Tamandua tetradactyla: one gene and its partner. The protein of the gene in region 2 purifies or fractionates together with the protein of the main gene of each other region. This does not show direct contact. Links are inferred from orthologs where the notes say so. Each region holds a gene or a part of one and is shown on either strand. Other genes may lie near its edges.

What was found.
Region 1: the proteins of FBXW8 (region 2) and CUL7 purify together in Homo sapiens (affinity purification with western blotting; 12 studies listed by BioGRID and IntAct, with this or other methods). This does not show direct contact. The link is inferred for Tamandua tetradactyla from reciprocal best matches to the Homo sapiens genes FBXW8 and CUL7.

Annotation. Positions count from the first base shown.
Region 1 is NC_135331.1:100,633,141-100,640,940, reverse strand, and holds the start of CUL7 (cullin-7), read left to right. Parts: upstream 1-4,572; 5' UTR 4,573-4,978; intron 4,979-5,829; 5' UTR 5,830-5,837; coding exon 5,838-6,513; intron 6,514-6,836; coding exon 6,837-6,988; intron 6,989-7,141; coding exon 7,142-7,642; intron 7,643-7,800. Other genes in the region: KLC4 (kinesin light chain 4), read right to left, coding at 158-215, 635-692; MRPL2 (large ribosomal subunit protein uL2m), read left to right, coding at 691-1,060, 2,938-3,079, 3,193-3,308, 3,385-3,495, 3,772-3,845, 4,056-4,268. UniProt on the Homo sapiens protein: Core component of the 3M and Cul7-RING(FBXW8) complexes, which mediate the ubiquitination and subsequent proteasomal degradation of target proteins. Core component of the 3M complex, a complex required to regulate microtubule dynamics and genome integrity.
Region 2 is NC_135331.1:17,254,065-17,261,564, reverse strand, and holds the start of FBXW8 (F-box/WD repeat-containing protein 8), read right to left. Parts: upstream 3,094-7,500; 5' UTR 3,039-3,093; coding exon 2,721-3,038; intron 1-2,720. UniProt on the Homo sapiens protein: Substrate-recognition component of the Cul7-RING(FBXW8) ubiquitin ligase complex, which mediates the ubiquitination and subsequent proteasomal degradation of target proteins.

The DNA of each region.
Region 1 (7,800 bases), about 83 Mb from region 2:
GACCTAAAGAGAGGGGAGTATTTGGGAAAGGGTGAGGAGGAAGACCTGATCTTTCCTGGCCCAGCCACTTCCATGGCTTTGTTCCCCGGAGGCCAGGTTGGAGGAACTCTCTTGTCTCTGTCACAGTCACCTACTAACAGACTCTGAGAAGAGTCACCTTAGTTGCCTCCCAGTTGCCTGATGGTTCAGGGAAGAATGGCAGGTCTGCTGAGCGGCTGCGGGGTCACAGAGAAACGCGGCGCTGGGAATTGGTCTCCTGACTTGGGAATGGGGTTGAGGAGTGTCCCAGGCTGTTGACCAGTCCTAGGGCCCAGGGTGGGGGTAAGAGGAGATGGGCGGGGGCGGGGGGGGGGTAGTTCGAGTGGATGGCTGAGGTCTGCGTCGCGGGCTAGGACCCCACGGCCAGACAATCTCGAGGTCAGTGAGTCAGTTGGTCGCTCAGGGGGCGGGGCAGGCCTTCTGTCCGTCTGTCTGGATGCCGAGGGGCGGGGAAGAATCGGGGTGGGCGGAGTTTTGGAGCCGGTCTGGAATCGTATGAGGTCGGTGAGGGGGTTTGTTCATCTGTCCAGGAGTGCGGGAATATGATATGGCGGGGCCCTCCACACTGTGCCCAATAGTTAACTCTAAGACTCACCCGCAGTCTCTCGGTCTGGCTGCCGCCCTGGCCGGCACTGCCCCTTTAAATCCATCATGGCTGCCTCTCGAGGCAATTGTTTTGACGGCTCCGAGGGGCGGGGCCTGTTCCCCCGTCACAAGACATCGGAGGCGCCAGAGGATTGGCTCTGGCTCTCGGAGGAAAGGAGATGTGTATCCGGCTTGGTCTCCTCTTCTCTGCCCCCTTCTTTTGCGTCATTAGACATCGACGGCGCCGGGAACTGTTGGTGTCACCCAGGAGCGCGGCGCGGCCTGGCTACAGGTGAGAGTGGCGTACGGACTCCTGTGGATTCTGACCTCCCCTATGGCCCTACGGGCTCTGACCCGTACTCTGGGCTCCCTGAGCCTTTCGCCAGCGCCCGCCGCCACTCCCATCCCTTTCCCGAGCCTGCTCCCCGCCGCCCAGGTAATCTGCTACACCGGGAAATGAGGCTGTTTCTGTTCTGGCCTCTCGGGAGGGAGAAGCCTGGGATGGGAGATGGGGGATGCGAATCTGGCCAGGAGTCGCGCCGGCCGGTGACGTTGGATAAGTCACTCATCCTTAGCTTTCCCTTTTGTAAGATCGTGTTGCCCTATAGTGCCGCAGGTGTTTTTCAGACAAGATACTGGAGGCAAAAGCGCTTTGCAGATCTCCTATTGTACGATTTCAAAAATAAGTATTTACTGAGTGCCTACTATAAGCCAGGCATAAGTAATATTTATGAGCTTAAAATAAATGAACTGACAATCACTCTGTAAGTGTAGTTTTTACTGTTCCTATTTTACAGATAAGAAAACTGATAGCAGTCAAGGGTCACGCACCAAGTAGTGGAGCTAGCCAGTCTAATGTCAGAGCCTCAGCTTTTAACCATTATGCTACAAGGATGAGTTATTGCTGAGATCAGAGAAAGCAGGATAAGATACCAAGAATAAAGACCTCAGGTGAAAGTATCAGGGGGTCACTAGTGGGCTACGGGAATGAACTGGTGAGGCACAGGAAAGAGAGGTTGTAAACTTGCTCATCTGGAGTTATCAGCTGTGTATTTGGCAGATGGAAACACAAAATTAAAAACTAGACCAACCTAATCTTCAGTGTTGGGAGTCAGCATTGAAGACAAATGATCCCGCCACTCCATTTATATGTGAAAATTCCCAGAAACATAACATAGATGGAAAAATGGGATCAGTGGTGATGATCATATATGTTTCCTGGAGAAGAAGAGTTTTATGCCATATTTGGAAAGATATGCCTCAAGGGAAGAACATTCATTGAAGAAATACTTCAGAGGTGAAAATGTATTAAAGGAGGAGAGGCAAACAACACACATACATCTGAATAAACATTCTGCACTGGTATCTGTGCATATTGATGGGTGGTATGTTTGGACAGCTGGTTTGGGGCACTTTCAGGAACAAGTAGGCTACAAGCTAAAAATGGTCTGTGTCCTGTCCCTTGGTTCTCTGATGCTTCTCCTTCAATTAGCTTTCCTAGTTAAAGAGCTTTCTCTTTATCCCTAGATAATAAGCAATGCCTTCCTCCAGTCACCCTCTGCCTTGATGTTGCCCCCCTGCCGCCCAATCCTTACTTCTGTGACCCTCAATGCCAAGCTTGAATCCTGGAAGAGTCGTACCAAGTACACCATTACACCAGTGAAGATGAGAAAGTCTGGGGGCCGAGACCACACAGGTGGGAGTGAGGGCAAGAGGATTTAAGCAATAAAGAAGAAAAACATGATAGGACCCTAAGCAAGTATAGTTGTAAACTTATACCTTGTGGAACAGAGAAATGCAATCAAAAAGCATTTATTGGACTCCTTCAGCATGTAGAATGTATGTTGGAGTCAGAGTGGGATACAAAGCAACAGACAAGGTGGTCTGTACTTCTAAAGACAATCTAGATAAAGAAAACTAGCCATACACAGGAAATGCCATGACATTTTTCTTTACACCATTTGAAACTTTACAACAGTTGGAATTGTTGAGCACTGTTTTCATGTCTCAGTAAACGTACTGAATGTAGTAATTTGATGAGATTTTACACAATTTCAATATTTAATATCTTCCCTAATATGCTATGTTTTCATTTTTTTACTTTTCTTTGTTATATTTACCAAACTCCATGTAGGTACTTCCCCCCACTCCCCCTTACCCCAATATGCTGTGCAAATCTTTTTTTTTATTCAATTTCTACTTCTGCCATAATGTTGGGAAGCACTGCTATTGGCCAAAGGGTGGGCCTGTTCCCAGTACTGGAAGCTGAATTAGTCTGACCTGGTTCATGTCCCCAAACTGTCCTGACCACAGGCCGCATTCGAGTGCATGGCATTGGTGGAGGCCACAAGCAACGCTATCGCATGATTGATTTTCTGCGTTTCCGGCCTGAGAATGAGAGCAAGCCAGGACCTTTTGAGGAGAAGGTCATCAACGTCCGATATGATCCCTGTAGGCAAGTTTGAGATATGGGGCAATGATGGTATATCTGACTGGCTGCTCTTTGGCTTCTCAGAAGACACAGAGCTGCCTTGATGGCCTGCTCAACCATCCCTTACCATTGAACAGGTCAGCAGACATAGCTCTGGTAGCTGGAGGCAGCCGGAAACGCTGGATCATTGCCACAGAAAATATGCAGGCTGGAGATATAATCCTGAACTCTGATCACATTGGACGGATGGCAGGTGAGGAATGGTTGCCAGATGCATGTAGGCTGGGAGGATGCGGGAATTCTTGTGCTGATGAAATTCCATCTTTTAGTTGCTGCTCGAGAAGGGGATGCACATCCTCTTGGGGCCTTGCCTGTGGGGACCCTCATCAACAACGTGGAGAGTGAGCCAGGCCGGGGAGCCCAATATATTCGAGCTGCAGGTATGGAAAGAGATGCTGCCTGGCTCCCTACAATTTGGAAGGCCAAGACCTGTGATCACAATTCTCTGAACCCATAGGCCATTGACAGAAAGAAGGGGAAAACAAGGAAAATGAGGATGTGCTTATATTTTGACCTAAAACATTATATGCGTCCTGTTTCAGTGTATCTGCTCCTAAAAGACAGCCAGAAGTATGTGGGGTATGGCCCCTGTGTGAACCAACCCCTCCACCTCATCCTTTTTGAAGGGTGGCAAAGCTGCCTTCTCCCTTTTCCAGGTACATGTGGTGTACTGCTGAGGAAGGTGAATGGAACAGCAATCATCCAGCTGCCCTCTAAGAGGCAGATGCAGGTGTGTATGGGAAGGACCAGCGAAGGAGGAATTTTTCATATGTACCTTTTCTGTCCAGGGATGGCTCCCAGATGTTTTATGCTAGGAACTGCCTCAAGCTGGGTCTGCCCTTTTCTGCTACGTGATTTGGCATGCAAGAGTCCATGCCCTCAACATTATGAGACTCTTTCCTCCCTCTGTTCATTGTCCTCCATCTGTTTTCTTTGTCAGGTGCTTGAAACGTGTGTGGCAACAGTGGGCCGAGTATCCAATGTAGATCATAACAAACGGATCATAGGCAAGGCTGGGCGGAACCGCTGGCTGGGCAAGAGGCCTAATAGCGGGCTATGGCACCGCAAGGGGGGCTGGGCTGGCCGAAAGATTCGGCCTCTACCCCCCATGAAGAGTTATGTGAAGTTGCCATCTGCTGCTGCCCAAAGCTGATAATTGATATCCCTGGAATCTAATAAAGTGGTCTCCCTCACCTATTTTTATCTGTTGTTTTTATTGGAGGGGAGGGTATGGACTGGACCAGGGGAGAAAAAGACAGAAGCGTTGGGTGAATAGAAGGAAAACGACCAATTGTTGCAAAGACTGGGGCTTCCCCCCGAGTTCCTTTATATGCAGGGGAGGATGGGGGAATAAACGATCTCCGAGGTCTTCCCCAGTTCTGACTTGCGAGAACGGGGAAGGGACTTCCGGCGGCAGGAGGGAGGACAAAAAGGAAGAGGAAAGGGCGGCGCGGAGGAGGAGGAGGTTCCGTGCGTCGCCGAGGTGGCACTCGCGGCCCCGCCCGGACGCTGTCCTCCCAAGGCCCCTCATTTTCCGCTAGACCCGCGGAAATGGTCCTCGGCTCCGGGCGGGCAGCGAAGCCCCGGAAACTGGGCGAGTGGCGCTGCTGGCCGCGGCCAGGCCCCGCCCCATCTCTGCAGCCGCCGATCCCAGCGCGCGGGTGATGACACTCGCCGGGCACCAGGGCACTGGATCCGCGCGCCACGCCCCCTGCCCGCGGAGGCACGCCCCCTCCCTCCTCGACCCTCTCGGGGGGCCCAGGCGGGGCCCAAATCTCCGCCAGCGTCGCCGCCATCGCTAGCGCAGCGTCCCTAGCTCTGCGAAGGACAGGCCTCACGCCAGGACCCCCATCGACTTCTGAGGTGGCCAGAGCCCCACCGCGGACCCCGGCCCCTACCCTGGGTTTTCGACCACCTTGCGCTCACCCGACCTCGCGCACCCCTATCTCACCGTGCCTCCGGCTCCCCAAGTTCATCCAGCCACCAGCCCCACCCCCACTCTCCGGCTCTTCTACGGTGCCGCGCGCCCCCTGCTTACCAGGTCTTCAATCCCGGTGCACCAAACCTTGTGTTCCTCGTTGGCCGGGTCTCTTGTATGGCCAGTCCCGGGCTTCACGTCGCCCCTATCTGGCCTCTCTGCTCCAGCTGATGGAAGCAGAGGCCCTCCAGCCCACCAGCCTCCTCCCTCCCAGCCCCTCTGGCCTTGTACCCTTTCTTCCTGCCCCCCATTCTCTGGGTCTCTTGCTTCTGCGACTCGAACTCCCCCTTCAACCCTCAAAGCCAGCACCTACACGTTCTCAGGGTCTCCCTGCCCACCCACCCCCTAAATACACACCTCTGGGCTTTGCTCACCACCTTCCCGGGCTGCCTCTGCCTGTCCTAAGGCCTTAAGCTTCACTTGTGACTCCAAGGCTGCCTTGCCCCCACTTCCCTGCTGTCCCTCTCCCACTGCTCCAAGTCAACCCTTTCCAGGCTGCCTTGGAGACCTTCCTTTTAGCCTGCGAATTTCATATTCTTTCAGAATAAACACCCCAGTGTTCCTCTGCTCAAACCTGGTCCCACCCAGACTGCAGCAGCCAACTCCTGGGCCTGCTTTACCCCACCCTGCCTCACAGCTGTTGTCACATTTGCTTCCCCAACTTCTGTATGTCCTTGGTTTCCTGACCTCTCCTCTCCCTCTAGCTTGCCTGTTCTCTTTTCCTTGTGTGTCCCAGGTGCCAGGATGGTGGGGGAACTCCGCTACAGGGAATTCAGGGTGCCACTGGGGCCTGGCTTGCACGCCTATCCCGATGAGCTGATCCGCCAGCGGGTGGGCCACGACGGGCATCCTGAGTACCAGATCCGCTGGCTCATCCTCAGGCGTGGGGATGACAGGGAAGGGGCCTCTGGCCAAGTGGACTGCAAGGCTGAATATATCCTACTGTGGATGACCAACGATGAGATCTATGCCAACTGCCACAAGATGCTGGGCGAAGATGGCCAGGTCGTTGGGCGCCCCCAAGAGTCTGCAGGGGAAGTCGGGGCCCTGGACAAATCTGTGCTGGGCGAGATGGAAAATGATGTGAAGTCCCTGATTCAGAGAGCCCTGCAGCAGCTGGAGGAGTGTGTGGGTGCCACCCCTCCCGCCCCTCTGCTTCACACAGTCCATGTGCTCAGCGCCTATGCCAGCATCGAGCCCCTCACTGGGGTATTCAAAGACCCCAAGGTCCTGGACTTGCTCATGCACATGTTGAGTAGTCCTGACTATCAGATTCGCTGGAGCGCGGGCCGCATGATACAAGCCCTGGCCTCCCACGATGCCGGTGAGAGGCAGCATGGGGAAGAAAGGGAAGCAGGAGAGGGGCTGGGTCGGCTCAGGGACTCCCAGGACGCTGTGACAGGAGCCTCTGACGTCATCAGTACGTAAATGATTCTGTGCCCTTCTCTTAAAGTTGGAAGCAAAGGAGGAGGGTAGGGGGGATGGGCGTCTCTGCAGAAAAAGGAACGACTGTGAATCCTCTAGAACCTTGGATTTTTATGCAAAAGAAGAATGTAGAGTTTAGATTATTGCGGATTTTATATGCATATATATGTGTATAAGATAGTACATTTTTAATTTGAAAGCAAATCATGCCATTCCTAGAACGTGGTGGCCAAAGGACTGGACTGAATAGAGGGATTAGGAAAGATATATGGGAAGGGTGAGGTTAGGAGCAGTTACTGATTGGGGTGTGGGTTACAGGGAGCCGCGCACAGATCCTTCTGTCCCTGAGCCAGCAAGAGGCCATTGAGAAACACCTGGATTTTGATAGCCGCTGTGCTCTGCTGGCACTGTTTGCACAGGCCACACTCTCTGAACATCCCATGTCTTTTGAGGGCATTCAGCTGCCACAGGTATTCTGTGGGGGGGTGAGGTGGGCAGAGGTTGGGGAGAGCTGTGAACCAGATGTAGACACAAGGCCTTTGCACCTAATCTGCAGAGGACAGTGTGGAAGAGGGGCTAAAGTAGGAACAAGGTGGATGGAGACCAAAGGTTGTATTCTACAGGTCCCGGGAAAGCTGCTCTTCTCCCTGGTCAAGCACTATTTGCATGTCACCTTCCTCCTGGATCAGCTGAATGACAGTGCTGTGGAACCTGGAGCCCAGAACAACTCTGCTCCTGAGGAGTTGAGTGGAGAGAGGAGTCGGCTGGAGCTGGAGTTCAGCATGGCCATGGGAATTCTGATCTCGGAGCTGGTACAGGCCATGCGCTGGAACCGGGCCTCGAGCAAACTGGGGAGCACTGCCCGGTCGGCCTGTTCCATCTTTCAGCCCCAGCTGGCAGGTGCAGGCCCTGGAATCCCACCTATCCAGGCCCGGCCCTTCCTCAGGAGGTCAAGGCGGTTCCGCCCTCGTTCTGAATTTGCCAGCGGCAATACCTATGCCTTATACGTAAGGTATGCGCTGCAGCCAGGGATGCGAGTGCGGATGCTGGACGATTACGAGGAGATCAGTGCGGGGGACGAGGGCGAGTTCCGGCAGAGCAACAATGGCGTGCCTCCTGTGCAGGCGAGTGAGCGCATGGGCATGGGACACTGTTGGGGCCGTCATTTGGGTGGGGGCCATGCAGGGGGGTTGGGTTGGTAAAAGGGGGGCAGCAGTTGGCCCTTCAGGAAAGAAAGGAGTCGTTAGGAGGGCTGAGAAAACCAAGTTTAGAAGGCTGTGAG
Region 2 (7,500 bases):
TATCATCTAACCCTTGCTGAGGTCAAGTGCCATGTCATCTCAGCTAGATAATGACATATCAGGTACCCCACACTCAAGTTACCATTAAATGTAAGAACACTAATACAACCACATTGGAAAACTGTCGACAGCCACTAAGGTAAAACCTATGTGTACCTCATATATGAGCAATTCCATTCCTAAGTGACTAACCAAGAAAAATGTGTGTTCACCAAAAGATGTTGTAAAAATATTCACAGCAGTACTATTCTTAATGCCCTCTAACTGGAAACCACTTAAGTGACCATTAAAAGAATGAATAAATAAAATGTGATATATTTATAGGGAAAATTTCATAACTAATGCTATAAATAAAAAGCCAGACACAAAAGCACATCCTGTATGATTCCACTTACAAATAGTTCAAACACAGAAGAAAATTAAAATACGATGTTGGAAATAAAGTAAGTAGTTACCCTTGGGTGGAAGAGGACACAAGTGGTAGGGGGGTTCTGACACGCTGCTAATGCTATTCCATGACCTAAGTGCTGGTTGCTTGGATGTGCACACTTTTGAAAATGCATTGAACTGAACACGTGACTGGTACATTTCAAAGTTTTAAAAAAAAAAACTTTAAAAAGTAGGAAAACAAAACCAAAAGGGCCACATTTCAAGAAAAATAGTAAAGTATGTTTCTTTAGGGATATCATGAAGAAGACTGCTATAGTATCTGACATGTTTAACGTGACAAATAATAAAATTTACATTGACCATTACAGAAGAAATCACTACAAAACTATGACTGGATCTGGAAAAACACCCGACAAACTAGGTAAAATGGGCTGACTACACTTTGCCTCCCCTATTTCACTCATTTGCACTTGCCTGATTCCTGTGAGCTTTGGGGCTTGCAAGCATTGACATGAGAATCCAAGCCTTTTCATAAACATTCCCATCACTTCCTAGATGGAAGATACTGGGTAAGTTTACTGGCCCTTCACATATGAGTTACATTTGTAATGATCACCTGCTAAACAGGACTCATAATGGCCACTGGAGAGGGTCACTAGAAGAATTAGAGAAGACAAATACCTCTAATCCACTGAAGACAATACAAAGTTAAATAGTAAGCACACAATGAATGACTGTTACTTTATTTATAGCAGTGTTACTGATGATCGCAAAGTATTCAAAAAGAGGGAGGTGCTCCAAAGGTTGGATGCTGCTCACAGTAGTCTACAGCCTAGTAGAACCCGATGTGATTCCAAAAGGGGCAGAAGAGAACAAGGACATGGATTCCAGAAAGACTGTAGGCTTTTTCTATCTACGTTTAAAATTGTAATGAACCCCTGGATCCCCCAGTAGCTAGACCGCTTTCACTTATAGAATGCTTGATTTATTACTCCACTATTGCTAGTATCAAGGCCTATCTCTCAGGATTGTTAAGGACAGAAAGTCTTGTGAATCAGGACTTTTTAAATCAAAGGACGCTGTACAGCAAAGTATAGTATCTCAAACTTGCCTCATCATCACAATCGGATTTCTCGGCCCTTTCTCTGGAAACTGATTCAGCAGGTTTGCAGAGAAGGCACAGAACTTGCATTTTAACAAGGTCCTCTGGTGATTCTTGGCCCAAGACGAAGATTGGAAAATTCATGTATGTGCAACTTAAGAGTCAAAAGACCTGGATTCAAATTCAATCCCCAGAATTTATCAGCTGGGTAACTGCAGGTAAATTACAGAAAAACTCTTCGAACATTTCTTATTTGCAAAAAGAGACAATATTTCTACCTTGCAGGATAGTTGTGAAGATTAGAGTTAAGGCAAAGCACAGAACCAGACACCTGGTAAAAACTCAAAAGGTAAATATTGATGTTATTTGAGTATAACTACATATTGCATTAAATAAAAAGCCAGTATTTCTTAGAGTGACCTAGCATTTCAGAATTTCTCCTGACTGAAATACTATAGAGGTCTCCTTTGAGGCTAATTTAATGACTTAAATTAAAACCAGCTATTTTATTCTGACTCTTAATTAGAGAGTCACTGATGTGTTTCAGGTGATACTGAGCTTACTGAAACTACCAACCTTGGTTATGAGGCTATTTTAATGGAGAGAAGGTCCCCAGCTTCCTCCAGATTTTCCTCACAAAAAGAGGCTCCATCCTAATGATAGTGCCTCAAATATTCTTTCTAAATTTTGTTTGCTGCTGTAATTTTTTTAATACACGCAGTTAGAAAAAAACTAAATAGTACAAACAGTATACAGAGGAAAGTTAAAATTCCTTCCCACCCTTGCCTATAGTCCATCTCCCTAAAGGTAACCTCTATTAATAGCTTAGGTATCCCTCATGGACAGGATTTCTCAATCTCACATCTATTGACATTTTTGGGTCAGACAATTCTTTGTGTGTGGTACTGGCTGTCCTGTGCATTACAGGATGTTGTGCACATCGCTGGCCTCTACCCACTAGATACCAGTAGTACTCACCCTAGCTGTGACAAACAAAATTGTCTCTAGACACTACCAAATCTGGGAGACAAAACCACCCCCAGTTGAGAACCATTGCTTCCAGAGATACTTTATGCACAAACACATGTGTATGCACTCTTTCACTTTTTCCCTCCACATTGGGTGGTGCACCGAGTTACTTCCCAACTTATAACAGGGTTTGTCTCGGGGGCGGGGGACTGCCCAGGCCTGGGTCGGGGGGGGTGGAGGGGGGGCGATGGCCACTCACCAGGTCGCGGATGAGTTGGTCCACCAGCTGGTCCCCGCCCCCGGCGCCCTCTCGGGCCTGAGGGGAACGGGAGCGGCTCGCCGCGTCCTGCCTCTCACCCCGGGTCGCCCGCGCCGCCGGGGGCCGCCCCGCGCCCTCCAAGAGGCCCTGGGCCAGCGCTAGGTACCCCGAGGCCTGCTCGCCGCGCCCGGGGGCCACCTCGGGCCGCCGAGGCCGCCGTTCGGCCGCGCGAGGCTGCCGCCGCTTCCTCAGCGCCTGAGCTTCCACCAGCTCCTCCTGCCAGCGGCGGCGGAACTCGTCCAAGCTGCGGTCATCCATCGCCGCGGCTCGCTGCCCTCCGCGTCCTCCTCCGTCCCACTTATTGCCACGGCGAGTCCCGCTCCGGAAGTGTCCGCCGCTGCCGGAAGCTACCGCAGCTGCCGCACTCAGGTTCCGGGTGGGCGGCCCAGCTGTCACCGCGCTCGTCCCGCGGCGGCCGGAGCTGGTTGCTCTCCGACTTGCAGCATCCCAAGGTTAGGTCAGCGCCTGCACCCCAGCACCTCGCCTCCGCGCGTCTCTGCTTTCCCGTCTGGGAACCGGGCGACAACTGTAAGCCGGGCACTTGGAGATTCAGCACTTAAATCTGCAAAAAATCCCTCCCCTCTTGGCGTGTGCATTTCAGTGGATGGAGACGTTTAAATAACTAATAAACGCATGTGAGCATTTTCATCAGCGGTTGGTATCGTGAAGAAAATAAAATAAGGTGATGTAATAAAGCGATTTCGTAGCAAGGGGGGATATTAATTTTTAAAGAATGGTCAGGGAAGGTCTGTGAGGCGATGACATTTGAACTAAGAGCCAAACGAGGTGAGAAACCAGCCAATCTCAGAAGAGAGGTTTCCAGAAGAAACTTGTAGTGCGAGCGTTGTGAGGTGGGAGTGTGTCCAACAATTGCTTTCTTTCTTCATGCTACCTAGTCCCTGCTCTTCCCTCCGCGGGAAATTCTCTTCATCCTGACTTGATTAACTCCTACACATCTTTCACATCTAAGCTCACCCATCACTTAAAATCTCCCCAACCACAGTGTTCTAGTTTGCTAGCTGCTGGTATGCAGCACACCAGAGTCGGATTGGCTTTTAATAAAAGGGGATTTATTTCATTAGTTCTTCAGAGGAAAGGCAGCTAAATTTCATCTGAGGTTCTTTCCTATGTGGGAAGGCTCAGGGTGATCTCTGCTGGGCTTCTCTCCAGGCCTCTGGGTTCCAACAACTTTCCCTGGGGTGTTTTCTTTCAGCATCTCCAAAGACCTGGGCTGAGCTGCGAGTGCTGAGAGGAGGTATGCTGAGCTGCTCGGGCTGTGTTACCTTGACCTCTCTCATTTAAGCACCAGCCAGTTAACTCAAACATCATTCATTGCAGCAGGCACGCCTCCTAGCTTGACCACAGATGTAATGAGCAACAGATGAGATTCATGTATCATTGGCTCATGTCCACAGAAACATAACTAGGCATCTTCACCTGGCCAAGTTGACAACTGAATCTAACTACCACACACGGACCCCCTTCCCCCTAAAAGTCAGGTCTCCCTGTTACTCTCACAGCATCCTGTATTTACTTCTCCTCATAGTACTTAGCACTATTTGTAATTTTATATTTGTATGACTGTTTAGTAATATCTCCCTTCCCTACTAGATTCTCAACTCCTAACCTGGATGTTGGTACACAGTAGATGTTCGTTAAATATTTACTGAATGAACAACAGTCCTTTAAGATGAGAGCTATTTTTGTCCCCATTTTATAAATAAGAAAATGAAGGCATAAAAATCTCAGCAACTTGTAAAAAATCACGCAGCAGGTCACTTGCAGACCCAGGATTTGACTCCAATTCTTTTTGACTCCAGGACCCGACCTATTTGTCATATAGCCCACAAGCCTTACCTGCCTCCAGTTACATGATTTATTTCAGTGCAGTGACTCTAGTAAACTAATTAAGACCCACTCAGAATGGGTGGCGTCACGTCTCCATCTAATCAAAAGGTCACATCCACAATTGGGCATGACATATCTCCATGGTGATAATCTAACCAAAAGATTCCAACCTACAGTTTGAATCAGGATTAGAAGAAATGGCTGCCACCACAAGATTGAATCAAAATTAAAACATGGCTTTTCTGGAGTACATAATACTTTCAAACCAGCCCAGAGCTGAACCTGCGACCTGTGCTTGTGGACAGGTAGTGTATTTGTAAAAGTGATTTCAGGGAACAAGAGTGGGGAACCAAGAACAGTGAAAGAAGAAAGAAGGAAAGCAAATCCAAAGGGCACTCTGAATTAGTCCTGTTGTAGACAACTTAGATTTCATTCCACTGAGATCTTCTAAAGAGTTTCAAAGAAAATAGGCCTCAGAATTGTCCTCCTGAGAGATGAGAGCCAGAAACAAGGGGAGCATTTATCCACAAAGTCTCCTCTCACATTAGAGAAGGACATAACCCAGAGGTTTTACAATCTCCCACTTCCAGGTGGGAGATAAGTAAATGTATTCCCAGGGATGTCCCAAACCAAGGTGGTGTGCAGAAAGCAATAGGTACTCTGAGTAGCTAACAGAAGGGACTGTAAGATCACCCTTGCACAGAGCCAATTGCTACAGCAACAACTGAAGCACAAAGTAGTCAGGAGAATATGATGTAGGCCTAAGAGATGTCTGATGCAATATGTATTTTTTTTGGTAATAAAAATCAGTATGGGGTCGGCCACAGTGGTTCAGCAGGCAGAGTTCTTCCCTGCCATACCAGAGACCTGGATTCGATTCCCAGTGCCTGCCCATGCGAAAAAAAATTAAAAATCAGTTATGTTTTCCCAAACATTCACCTAATATCCTGCTTCATCCTAGTTTCCTTTCATACAGAATTCCAAGGATCAAACTTGCTTTGATTATCTACCAGTGGGTCAAAAGTCAACTATCTCCAGAATGTACGCAACACCTAATATTTAAAATAGAGCAAACTGGAAAATTTTTAAGCACCTAACTGTGCTAGTCAACATCCATATTTTTGCTTAACCCCTTTAAAAGAATTTTTACAGGGGCAATGTAGGAAGGATGATGGGGCCATTTGTAACCCAGGAAAAAGGAAAAGAGAGAGATACTAGAGAAAGGGAAATATTGTCCTTTCCTGATTATTATTACAGCTTGCTCTGAAAATGTTTACATTAATTTTGTATCTTTCAAATGGTAAGTTCCATGAGCCTCCATTTCCTCAAATGAAAAATAAAGATAATATATATATATATTTATATTTTTATAAATTTATTTTTTTATAAATTAATATTTATAAATATATATATATTTATATTTTTCTTTCACCATTTTTTATTGTGGGAAAATATATATATAACATAAAATTTGTCGTTTTTAAGTGTGTAATTCAGTGGCATTAATTAAAGTCACAATGCTGTGCTACCATCACCACTATCCCTTACCGAAACTTTTTTACGTCTGAACCCATTAAGCCTAGTTTGAGTCACATCGCCATCAAGCGATAACTCCCCATTCTCCCTCCCCTCAGCCTCTCATAACCACTAATTTACTTTCAATCTCTATGTATTTGCTTACTCAATATTTCATTTAAGGGGAATCATGCATTCCCTTTTGTGTCTGTCTTATTTCATGTAGCATAATGTTTTCAAGGTTCATCTATGTTGTAGCATGGATCAGAACTTTATTCCTTTTTATGACTGAGTGAAGTGAAAATAAAAATATCTTCCCATCAGGGTGGCTTTAAGACTAATATCATGTCTATAAAACTAGCACCCAAGGTGGGCCACAGTAGCTCAGTGGCAGAGTTCTCGCCTGCCATGCCGGAAACCCGGCTTTGATTCCTGGTGTCTGCCCATGCAAACAAACAAACAAATTAGCACCCATGAGGCATATAGTAGGTGTGCTGGTTTGAAAGGATGTATGTCCCCTAGAAAAGCCATGTTTTAATCCTAATCCGTTTCTTCTAATCCCTATCCATCATTGTATGTTTGAGACTGTAATTAGATCATCTCCCTGGAGATGTGATGTAATTGAGAGTGATTCTTAAATTGGATTAGGTGATGACATGTCTCCACCCATTCAGGTGGGTCTTGATAAGTTTCTGAAGTCCTATAAAAAAGGAAACATTTTGGAGAATGAGGAGATTCAGAGAGAGCAGAGCAGAACGACATAGCCACGAGAAGCAGAGTCCACCAGCCAGCAACCTTTGGAGATGAAGAAGGAAAATGCCTTCCGGGGAGCTTCGTGAAACACGAAGCCAGGAGAAGAAGATAGCAGATGACACCTTGCTCACCATTTACCCTTCCAGATGAGAAAAGAACCCTGACCTTGTTCACCATGTGCCTTTCCAGATGAGAGAGAAACCCTGACTGTGTTCGCCATGTGCCTTCTCACTTGAGAAAGAAACCTGAACTTCACTGGCCTTCTTGAACAAGGTATCTTTCCCTGGATACCTTAGATTGGACATTTCTATAGACTCCTTTTAATTGGGACATTTTCTCAGCTTTAGAACTGTAAACTACCAAGTTATTCAATTCCCCTTTTAAAAGCCATTCTGTTTCTGGTATATTGCATTCCGACAGCTAGCAAACTAGAACAGTAGGCATTCAATAAATGATAGCTGTGATCCATATTAATTCATCCCCAGTAGGTAGAGATTATGTCTAACCCATGCCGTATAAGACTGGTGTGCCATGGGCCCATCTTCTGACATATGGCGGATGGTCCTTGCAAGCTTTGGCTGTTGAGGTTCTTCGGTTCTTTGGT